3 linked regions of the Solanum lycopersicum genome follow. The protein of the gene in region 1 interacts with the protein of each later gene in a pairwise test. Links are inferred from orthologs where the notes say so. Each region holds a gene or a part of one and is shown on either strand. Other genes may lie near its edges.

Evidence for each region.
Region 2: the proteins of polyadenylation and cleavage factor homolog 4 (region 1) and protein CLP1 homolog interact in a two-hybrid assay, tested with the Arabidopsis thaliana proteins (3 studies listed by BioGRID). The link is inferred for Solanum lycopersicum from reciprocal best matches to the Arabidopsis thaliana genes PCFS4 and CLPS3.
Region 3: the proteins of polyadenylation and cleavage factor homolog 4 (region 1) and zinc finger CCCH domain-containing protein 49-like interact in binary tests that used the Arabidopsis thaliana proteins (3 or more experiments, as listed by UniProt). The link is inferred for Solanum lycopersicum from reciprocal best matches to the Arabidopsis thaliana genes PCFS4 and MAC5A.

What each region holds. Positions count from the first base shown.
Region 1 is NC_090811.1:66,838,809-66,842,007, reverse strand, and holds part of polyadenylation and cleavage factor homolog 4, read right to left. Parts: intron 1,909-3,199; coding exon 1,216-1,908; intron 769-1,215; coding exon 1-768.
Region 2 is NC_090800.1:3,701,166-3,705,606, forward strand, and holds the start of protein CLP1 homolog, read right to left. Parts: upstream 2,909-4,441; 5' UTR 2,604-2,908; intron 1,333-2,603; 5' UTR 1,283-1,332; coding exon 1,067-1,282; intron 1-1,066. Other genes in the region: serine/threonine-protein kinase Nek5-like, read right to left, coding at 4,438-4,441. UniProt on the Arabidopsis thaliana protein: Required for endonucleolytic cleavage during polyadenylation-dependent pre-mRNA 3'-end formation. Functions in gametophyte, embryo and postembryotic development.
Region 3 is NC_090803.1:8,435,458-8,439,687, reverse strand, and holds the start of zinc finger CCCH domain-containing protein 49-like, read right to left. Parts: upstream 2,809-4,230; 5' UTR 2,614-2,808; intron 2,482-2,613; 5' UTR 2,468-2,481; coding exon 2,363-2,467; intron 840-2,362; coding exon 570-839; intron 114-569; coding exon 1-113.

The sequences.
Region 1 (3,199 bases):
CGTATTTGGGACATTAACCAATGGCATAGACACTTGTGGACCTGAAACTGGACGGGGGAAGTGAGGACCTATAGAAGAACCAGGACCCGGTAGAGGGTATCTATAAGTTGGTGGTAGCAAATGGTTTGAGGCTGGAAGTGAGGCACTTGGAGGCATAGTCTGATGAATACGCTGAGAAAGCAATAGCTGAGGTTCTGCTGAAGCCATTTGTTCAGAATTTTGATGACTTGTAGAAAATGATGTGGGGTGTTGACTAGGAAATTGTGGAAACTTGATATGTGAGCTGCTCTTCAAATTATCAATATGTTGCTCAGGAAGAACTGGCCTGTCCAAAGTATGATTGACAACTGAATTGCTTGCATTATTTACTTCATAAGGACTTCTGACGTGATTATGAGGCAGAACAACAGGTTTTGAAGTCAAAGAATGGGGAGTATGCACATTTTGGGGAGGCCATGGTACACCAGGGCCCCGTCCAGTAACCACCCGAACATCCTGAACTGAAGAGTCAAAAGTAGGATTCATTCTTGGCGGAACATATGGTGGCCTCCAAGTATGTCCATCAGCAGCCAAATTGCCAATCAAAGGGTGCTTTGATTCACCGGTCACTGATGAGATTCCACTTCCTTCACCCTTTAAATGTCTTAGAGGCAACTGTGGCACATTTTCTGGAAGCTTTTGAAGATAATGTGAACCTGAAATCAGAGATGTCTCATCGCAATATCCAGTAATTTTATTTCTCGCCCCTCGACCAGACTGCCAAAAGAACTGACATAATTTCAATATGAAAAAAAATATCTCTCAAGTGATAAAATAAAAAAAAAAGATGCCTCCTTATACAAGACAAAGAGCAAATGAATTAACTCATGGTGCATTATGATGCTATCTTGATCGCCAAATAAAAGTACGAGTTTGGTCCACATCCGTCAAATAACTCAGATAATAACAAATACAACCAAATAAAGTCACTGGCTCCAATTACGTTTGTTTTAGCCAATGGGAAGCAGATATAGAATTCCAATCTGAACAATCAGCTGAAGATAAGATTACAACATATGCTGCTAAGGCTAATTGTTATTGCTCCAAACAAGTTAGAGATATCAGAGACATAAAAAAGTTTGAATACCATTAATAAGCAAAAAACTAAGTTGCATAACATTAGTCAGCAAAATACTAAAGGAAAATAATTGCATGCGATAGTACATCAATACTAACCGAGTGAACATCATCCACGGAAGAATCATGAACTAAAGAATATTGCCCTCGATTAGCCCAGTTCCTTCTAGGATCAGCCACCAATGGCCCAGCATGTTGTGAATCAACACAAGGTCTCATCCTGATACTCTGAGGATGGCGAAGAGATGCTGACAAATCATTAAACGGGCTCTGATCTGCTAAAGTTGGACTCATATCTTCCCAGTTAAACTCTTCCTCTTCGGTATTTTGCCATGTCTTAACTGCTAACCCATTGCCTAAGCCATTAATAGTGGCATTCCCAGTCTTTTGCTGCCTCAGATGGGCTACTTTTTCCCTTTCATCAATTCCATAAGCATCAATCAAAGCTCTAGGTCCTTGAAGATCAATTCCCTTGTTTATGCGATATTTAGGAGGAACGTCTGGTTGCTGATTGGCCCCATCAGGCAAAATTCTCTGCCACTCACTCCTCTCAACATCTCTACCTCTTACTCTGCTAAACCCATAGTCAAGTGCAGTATGAGACGGTGAGGCCCTTTCTCTGAGTCCTATGGCAGGATTATCCAAGGCAAACTCGTTGAGGGTGGGTGACAATGACCTCGGAGGCCCCACTCTATAAGGAGAGGATGATCTCGCATTCTTTGAAGATGTAGACAGAACTTGCTTGGCTTCCAGATCTGAAGATATATGACCTGTAGAATTTTCAGCTCTTACCTGCAACAGTCAAACCTCACTCTAAGAAATTCTACTCATCATCCCTTTTTGCAGTTTAAAACTCTTTCACGTGTTTAGCATCTAAGCGGAAACATATTAATAAGTACAATAAAGCAAGTCGGTCGGTGTAACTCAACTATGAAGCCTATCACGTTTACTTCAAAAATAATACCCTTATACCTACCAAACTAGTAAGAATACAGAAGTAACCGGAGTCAGCAGATTTATTAAATGCTATTTCATTCTACCCCATTCATCTAGTTTGCATGAAAGAAAAAAAAAACATGTGGATTGATAACTAGACTACGATTCTGTAGGGTGACTCCTTGAAAATATACTAAGCCAAGTTGCTCGAACAGTTCTAACTTCAAAAATACATGTCTAGGGATCATCTGTATCTGGAACAAAAAAGATCTAACCACATTTGATATCTAATGAGGAATGTCAACAGGGCATCCTCAATCAAATTGTTCTACACTACCCCCCTATCTATCTCCCAATAAAATTACTTTAATTACAGGCCCAGGTACTTCCAAAGGACCAAATTCTCAAAAACCTACATAAAGTGCCAGTAAATGAATGAAAAATGAGATGAAAAGAAGAACTTCAATCAAGTGGTTCAATTATGTCTATCACAACTACCTATAGAAGATCCAACCATAAGACACAACAATGTCGATGATGTGTGTCAACGATGTGTCTTACCTGTACTACAAGTAAAGTTGTATGCAGAAGGCTTTAAACTTCTGTTATGCCTTGATTAAAGCCTTTTACCTAATTTTAAACTTAGTCTCCTTGAATGACATTTCTGCCTCAATTTGACACTTCAAAAGTAACTTTTTTTTAAAAAAATGGTAATTTTCAGTCTTAAGCCCTAGAATTTGTTGGTGGTAAACTTTTTCTCCTCCCATTGGAATAAGCAACTCCAATGGAACCAAAGGAAGCTTAAAAGGCATAAATTAATAGAAAAAAATTCACATAACAAAAAACTTAGACCAAAATTGTCTCATGCCTACACTAATTAGATCCTCAGTGTTAGAGAGCCCCTGATTCAACTTGTTTTTGTACAGAAGTTTCCAGTTATGTGCACTACCTTAGTGCTAAGTTATTCGGCTTTTGAATATATAACATGCTTACCTTGTCCAAGAAAAAAACATTTCAGATTATATTAATTAGCACAATATCTTTGCTGAAGACTTTTTCATAAATTTGGCCAAATCCTAACGTTTAATTCAACGATTTCGAATATTAGGTGTGGATATGAGAACCAAGGGGTAACAGATGATAAATC
Region 2 (4,441 bases), on another chromosome or scaffold:
TGGAGCTGAGTTGGAAGGGAGAAGTCTAAGAAGGGACTCAAAAAATATTTGGTATACCCATTCCTGCCGATATTTGCTGAACCTTGTGGAGATAAAGAAACAAAAAGTGTATGAAGGCAAGGCAAACCCTATACAGAAGACAAAAGCTAATTTGTTTGCTGCAGCACTTTTTGGCATTTAAATCAGATTTGAAAAGAATGCTTCTTCGATTGACTTTGTTAGTTCCTTAAGTAATTTTTTGCTAGTTTCCGAGTAACAATTTCAGTACCAACTTAGTGTAGCCTAACATTAATACAACTTGAATTACTCAATAAACTCGGGAGTTCAACCCAAATGTGATTGCAGAATGATTCTCATGACAAGTTAAAATTTCCAGAGGACAATCTGCAAAACCCTTCTTCTGTTCTAAACATCAAAAGAAGCTCCCCCACAAGCCCACTGCTTATTCTAGTCCAGCATCTCTATTTCAATCAACTGACTGGTATTGAAGAACATGTCCAATATTCTTAGTAAGGACGCCTTCTGTACCTTCTCCTGTCCTTTTATAGTAGTTCTCTTTATACCCGAGAAATCTCCAAGGAGCCAATGGTGCACAGTTCCAAACTCTGTGGAAATGGGCCCACCTCTCTACCTTTGGTACTCAGTTATTTAGTAAACCTTTACCTTATCCAATAAAATATATACCGTGCTCTTGTGTTAGGCAGGTTTAAACCCGTGACATACACGATGGTTGCGATCTTACCTAGAGCAAAGCATTTGGAGAGAGGGGGGGGGGGGGTTATCCATGCAATTATGAATAGCTCCCACCTAGTGGAAACTGGAAACTACTCCATCTAGCTAGGCTCTTTATAATCCATGTAAATCTAGAAAGAATTTTTCATATCCTTGTATGTCAGTAAGCAGTTCTGTTTATCAAACATAACCTAAATTGATACTCACGTGCAAAAGATATATTAATGAAACTTGAGGCATTTACTAGATTCATCCAGCAAAGATTTTCACAGTAAAGCAATCATTCCAGGGCACACATTCATTTCATTGATAGATGATGGATATAGAATCATACTGCAAATTTAAGTCTTGGAGGAAAGTTGAGCCAGATTCCAGGAGGGATTTCAGTCCCAAAAATCTCAGCCGTGCCAGTTAGGAGCCGAAGACGGAGAGGCGAGTCAGCGCTGGCTTCAACTCGGAGCTCACATTCTTTTTCCAACTTCACCTGCCTCACTGTTGTTGAACCACCTGTTGCTGCCAATGGATTGACATTTGTGCCTCCATAAGCCATATCAGAGATGCTTCTCTTGTTGGCTCCAATTCTGGAAATTTTCACCAAGCCTATGGGTACAGTTAGTTAAAAGAGAAGAGTTAAAGAAAGATCATGCTTTCTACTAATAATAAGAATGGAAAACAATTCCACGCCTTTCTTTTCCTTCAGTATGGTTCTCCTTTACTAGTGACTGTCCATGGACAATGTTGTGGTTAAACTGGGTGACCTCATTTCAGTACCCATGAAAAACAGACAGCAGCATGCTCTAATGAACTCTTATATACATATTTTTATTAGTTATTTTAAAATGGTGTATCAGTTCTTGATTTTCGAATCAATTGGGCATGCATTGCTTAACCATTGAAATTATTGTTCTGATCGCTCCAAATGAAAGATGTACGAATTTGGAACTATTGCTTCAAGTTGCAGGAGACTTTTTCTCTTCTTCGTAATCCCAGTTAGACAAAATATTGGATTAGAGGGGATAAAAGTACATAAAGGATAACTATAAGTAACTTTTCTAAATAACCACAAGAAAAACAATGAAATTTGAAAGACTTGTGCAAGAACTTGCTTATAAAAATATTGAAACAACTCATTGCATAATCAGTCTAATGACCAAATGAACACCAAGTTACACACTTCCCCTTTTTTATACAACCGTTGTGTCCGACGGGCCAGGGTACCTACTACCTCCCACCAACACATGTAAGTGTCCACCAAATTTGAACATATAGAAATAAATAATTCTTGTTCGTACGGGGACCTGACACCTCATGATTCTCAACCTACTTTATTAACACTAGCGACAACATTGAACCTTGGGTGCGCCCAAGTTACACACTTCATACACCACCAACAGATGTACGCGATAACTTTATCCATCAAAATTTGAACAGATAGAAAGAAATAATTCCTGTCTAAATGGGGATGTAAACCTAACACCTCATGATTATCAACCTACTTCATTAGCACTTGCCACAACCTTGGGGTGCCCAAGTTACACACTTCATACACCACCAGCACATGTACACGATAACTTTGCTCACCAAAACTTGAAACCTACAATTTCTCGTCTCTACTAGGATTTGAACCCAAAACCTCACAATTCTCAACCTACTTCCAATTGACACTAGACCACACCCTTGGGTATCCAAGTTACAAACTTTATACACATTCAAACACAATCAAATAAAAAAATTACAAAAACATTGCAATACAATCCAAATATGCAGTTTTTTTAAAACCCAAAATCTATCATTAGGGCAAGGAATAACAAAAAAAAAATTAGGGTTTTTCTGTTTAGAGGAGAAATTGGAGTATAAGGATAGAGGTATACCTATGAGGAGACTTCGCCGGAGAAGAGCAAGTTCGCCGGAGAAGACGAAAATACTGTGTCGTTTCAGTTCCAGTTGAGTTGAGTTCAGTGGGTTGTTTAAATTGGCGGGCCGGAATCCAACAGGTCTCTTCTTGGGTATATGGACGGCTCGAAAAATCGAATTGATCAATAAATTGAATTGAAAAATTATTAAAATATTTAAAAAAAATTATAATTTATAAAATGTTACGATATGAAAATATAAATTTTTACGAAGAAATTATAAATAACTCCCATCATGGCGGTCTTACGAGAAGGAATTATTTATGTATCAAAATTATCAAGTTTATTTATATTTGATAGTAAATATTTAAAAAAGTTCATAAATAGCAAGATTAATGTTATTTATTTGAGGAAAAAATAATAGTGACATTGTGTTACTTCAAAATATTATTATATTTTTCTTTTAAAAATGTATACATTATGCGACATATAAATTGAAATATTGTATATAAATTGATAGTGTCTATATATGCATATATTTTTTTAGTTTTCCACTCGATGATATCCATATTGAAATTCAATTAAATTTGAATTCGCATAAAAAAGTTTTACATTAGAAGGTAAAATACTCTCTATTAAAGACGACTATAAGGACACGTGTATCAACTATAAAATGTAAAATATAGTTATATTTTGTAATTATTTAAAAGGTGTAATTATGAGGCATAATCAAGTTACATTTGGCAATTTTTTCATAGTTTTTAGTGGGTTAATTGGTAGTCTTTCACAAGTTTGCTTATCTTATGCTCTTGTCATCAAATATTTTTGTTTTTATATATAGGAGATCTAAAAACAATTAAAAAAATAATTGAAAGAGTTATTTTCTTTATTCAAAACTATTAAAAATTAGACACTTAAATGAAAAAAAATAGTTTTAGCTAAACTACAAAATAAAAATTAGCTAAAAATAGTTTCACAAAATCAAGATTCCAATATGGTATAATTTGTTAATACAATTTTAGAGAAAATTTTAGAAATAACAAACAGAATAGATATAATAAAGCTCTATAGTTGTAATGTCTATAGTTTTGTTTGCTATGGAGACTGCGGTTTGTTGTATCCATTTGTGTAATTCGCTTGTGAAAATACAAATAGGGTAAATATATACAAATTCTATAGTTATACATTTATGGTTTTTTTTCACAATTCTGTTTGTAATATTTTGGTTGTCAATACACAAATAGAGTAATTTATTATGAATTTTTCATATATCGTTTACAAATAGTTAGAGCAAGCATATACGACATTCTGGATATATACAAACAAGACTAGTTATATATAAATCAAACGAATAGCAAGAATTGAGAAAACTATAACCACGAATTACAACTTTCTTAAGATGTAACTATAGTACCTAATATAGGCTAAACGTTTTTTGTTTACATATTTTTTTACCTCCTCTCTAAAAAGGCCCACTTTTTTGCTCCTCTAATGACTCGAAGTCACAACCTGATGGTTGAAAGTGAGGAGTGTTTACCGTCGTAGCCAATAATTCATTATAGGTAATGAAAGGAAGGAGTCTTGTGCAAAGGAAGTGCTACTCAAGAAATGTAACAATGCACACCATCAAATATCAAAACATCCTTACATTTTGCACATCAAAGATTTATTCAAAGTTTCTATCTATCTATATACAATTACAGAAGTGAATGAATTACATAAATACTAATGTGAAAAAGGGAAGTTAAAGCACCTCTTCAACTGCTTTCTCTTCGCGAATTCAATAGGAAGTTGAATGACATAAAGAAAAAATAATAACAAGTGAGCAACACTGTAGAACAAGCATAATGGATCAT
Region 3 (4,230 bases), on another chromosome or scaffold:
CAAACATGTGCCCGATTTCTCTTGTAGTATGGAGTAGTTCTTTGGAGCTTCAAAATAGTGTCATTCGCACGGACTTTTCCATATGAAGATTCATAATCAATCCCTGCTCTTGCCTGTTCAGAAAGAAAGCATAGGTCAACAGGAGAAAATAGAAAAACAAAGTGATTATCACAGCACAGTTTTGTCTGAAGCGAATCTTTTAGGTTCACTTTCTATCAAAGGTTCTACATATATATGTCATTCTCATTCCTTATGTACTCCTCCCTCTGAGATGAGGAAGGAGGGAACCCAATAACAACACAGCCCAATCAATTTTGGCTAAAAGAAAGTTTCGGCTCAAAGATTTAGCAACTTTTCAAATAAGCTAATTCACATTTGCACTCTGAAAGTTGCAAGTAAAAAATATTCAAGGTAACAAGCACATACCCTCAGTAATAGATAAGTATTATTCTAAATTTGTGTGGGGTGGGGGATGACCTTTATATGCATGTAACTGTGCATATGCAGGTGGAGCACAAAGACATGTTATAATAAAGTATTAATAAACTTCAAGTTGAAACTTCACATACCCTGCGGTCATGCTCCTCTGCAAAATATTCTCTATTAACGTCACTCTTGGGAATTGCATCATTAGAATTGATACTGAGAGCAGTGTCTCGGACCTGAACTGGCAAACCATACTCGAGATCCAAAAGACAAACTTGACAAACATTCTTCAACTTGCTGCAGGTCTGACAGATCTCAGATTTTTTGTATCTTGCATCCCGACCAGGTCTCCATCGGAACACTGTGAAGGGTCGTGTGCATATCTTGCACTCCTTATCATAATCTGCTTTCGTCTGAAAGGAACAATGACAATATCAAAAGGTTCAATACTTGACAAATGAAAAAGTAAATGTAACTTGACCACGTCATAAAACTCAGATCAATCTATATGCCTTATACGAAGAAAACTGACATTTTGACGATAGGAATGGCGAGTAGAAACAATCAAGTAGGATACAGCTATGTATTAAGAGAAGTTGTCAGCAGTTAACAACATGCAAAAATGAATATAGAATCTATTTTGATAAGAATGTGATGCAAGCAAGTGTATAACCTAACCAATTATCAGCAAACAAGGACTAGAAGAGAGTAATAAACCTAATAGGCTAATAGCCTTTTCCTTTATTGAGAAAAGACAACTTATTCTTTCCCTATGACTCAAATAAAATACTTGTCTTGTTATCTTCATTAAATATGAGCGGCCAGATCAATCACACGTTATAATTACTTCAGCAAGAAGCTGGGCTGTGAGGCGTATCAGATATAAAAGAATAGCGCTCTAACCTTTGAAGTTTGATTCCTTGGAAAAACAAAACTACACCTTTTAGTTCCTAACTGAACAAAGTTACCCTGTTTATCTTAGTTTTTACCAATTAATGCAAATCCTGATTGCTGAAAAACATATAATTTATCTACTTCCCTATATCCTGAGATGCCAACCCACTATACAGAAACAAGCTTGTGGATGTTATCAATGTAAGAGTGCTATATACAGAGGCTGACATGCCAATGTGCAACATCGACTCAACAAATTCAATTTTTCAACAGCTCAGCAAATACTAAGTTTTACACCCATAATTGTTGAAGTGCTATGGTTCGGATATGAGGCATAAGATTGAACCCATTTGGTTTAAATCCTGGATCCACCTCCGACTATATTCACTTAAACTTAAGACAAATGACTTCCTCAAGTTAGTACTTATGATGTATGGTGGGTGCACGTAACAAGTTAGAATCTGACTTGTGGACAAGTCTAGCATTTACATGGAGGCATACCACTATCCACCTACTGTTGAAGTATAATTTCTCTGTGGTAATAAGAACAACTTCATCAACTTTTTTTCAAACACTAGAATGTATTAACCAAAGTGAGGCTTTTTCTCTTTAATCGTTTTACCACCTTGCTGAAGCAGTTAATGAGAACATAGCAAAGACCAAAAGATCTCAAATTATGTCCAATTTCATGCTTGCATTCTCTCTGCTAGCATGCTGTTTCATTTAATTTGTTGGTATAAATACCGTCAACACATTCCTATGCATAAGAGGGAAGATTCAAATAAGAAAAGGGTGTAACCTTTTTAAACCAAAATTAAATAATTTGAATGGAAAAAGCTCAACCAATTAGAAGGACATCAAGCACAATATCAGTTCCTAAATTCTATAAACACACTAAGCCCTCAATTCTAGTTCAAAACACCATAAACATAACAAACAAACCCTAATTCTATTCACAAATGAAAACAAAAAATGAATACAAAATCATGAAATTATTCACAAAATAATAGAAAACTCAAAGAAGAGAAGTTCAAAATATTACCATTCGCACATAGGGACTATCCCCGAGACAAGACTCACATATAATCGGAAAATCAGATCGCTCCCATCCATCAGCTTCTGCATCTCTAAGCAACCTATGCGCCATTAATTACTATATTCCTGTTTCACAAAAAACACAAACTTATCAAATGAAGCTTTTTCTTCACACCCACTGCATAAAAAATTCCAATTTATCAAAATATAAGGTACCAAGTTTAGGTTGATTTTATCAAAACGAAGCACAAACTTTACCTGAGTGAAATACAGCGACGGAGATTACGGCGGCGGAAGAAATATAGCGGCAACGCTTACGGCGGTGGAGGAGATACGGCGGCGGAGCAAAAGGGAGGAGAGGAGAGGAGACGAGAGAAAAAACCCACTAAGTATTAATGTGAAGAAGAGGAAATCGAATTTTTAGCAAAAGTTTAGTATTAGTACGTTTAGTCCTTCTAATATCAATATATTATATTTTTATCCATATATTTTCAATAAATTGATTTGTACACTTTAATTCCTCAAAAGTCAAAACTGTGAATTTCCAATTTTAATGTGCTAAACTACTCAATTATCAAAGTGTTGGGTCAAATTTATACTCTTGCTTTATATTTGAAAATGATATATTATTTCACGAAATATGTAAGTGAAACTCAAATATTATAAGATTTAAAATAAAAATTGTTATAAATGTAAGTTCATAATAATATAATATAAAGAGAAGATGGCAAGAAATGTAGTTAGAAGACATAACTTTTTTTCTTTTTCAAATGTATTTGCAAATGGTGAGTAATATCTCTATTTATAGTCACCAAAAGTAGTAGATACATAGTTATCACTTAAGGTTCTTATCACCTTGAGAAAACTCGTACATGAATACATTTAATTTTTGAATAAATAATCCACACAATACAATGGATTTATAACACTCCCCTTGGATGTCCATAGATTATGTGCTTCGTTAGAACCTAACTAGGAAAAATTTTGTGGAAAAAATCTCAGTGAAGAAACAAAAGTACAAAACCTCGATAAAAAAAAATGCAACACGTATTATACTCTCCCCTGAGCGAAGAATACTTAATTCTTATGAATATGTCATCCAATCATATATACCAACTTCGCAGATATTGAAAATGTCTTTGTGATTAAATCACATTCACGAAGATGTGCATGATTGAACTCATTTCTGATATGTCATTTTCTGATTTCATGGATATGATGAGCTTTTGAGCTTAGCCGAATATATTCTTGAAAATCACTTTATTTGTGACCTCGTTACTGCAAGTAAATTGCTCACTTAACTTGCTATAGCAACAATCATCTTGTGGAAACTTTCATTTGCAGTTGTTAATCTTCGTACATTCTGGTTGGTATATTATTTTTCAAAGAAAACACATATTTTTTGAACATGGTGTGTCATTGATCTAAATCATACGCACTGTCGACTGGCTTAATGGAGGACTTTTATTTGTGCATGATTTGAAGAAGTGATTATCAACATTTGTTTCATTGATCGCCAAGATATTATTATGCTTCTACATGTAAACAAATAACCTCTTTGAGATCGACTTTCATGCGGATCAATATTTTGCATCTGCATAACCAATCAACTCTGACTTTGACTCCTCGATATAGAATAAACTCATGTCTATGGTCTTTCAAAGATTATGTTCTTAACAACATTTCATGTCCTTTTGTTGGGGAAGAATTAAATCTTGCCAGTAAATTTACTGCAAAACAGATATTTGATCGTATATTGTTAGCAAGATGCATTAGTGCCCTCATTACACTAAGATATGGAGTTTCATCGCCAAAAAAGCTCTTCATCCATCTTTTGAGATCAAAGTGAATCTCTATTATATCAAGCGATCTCAT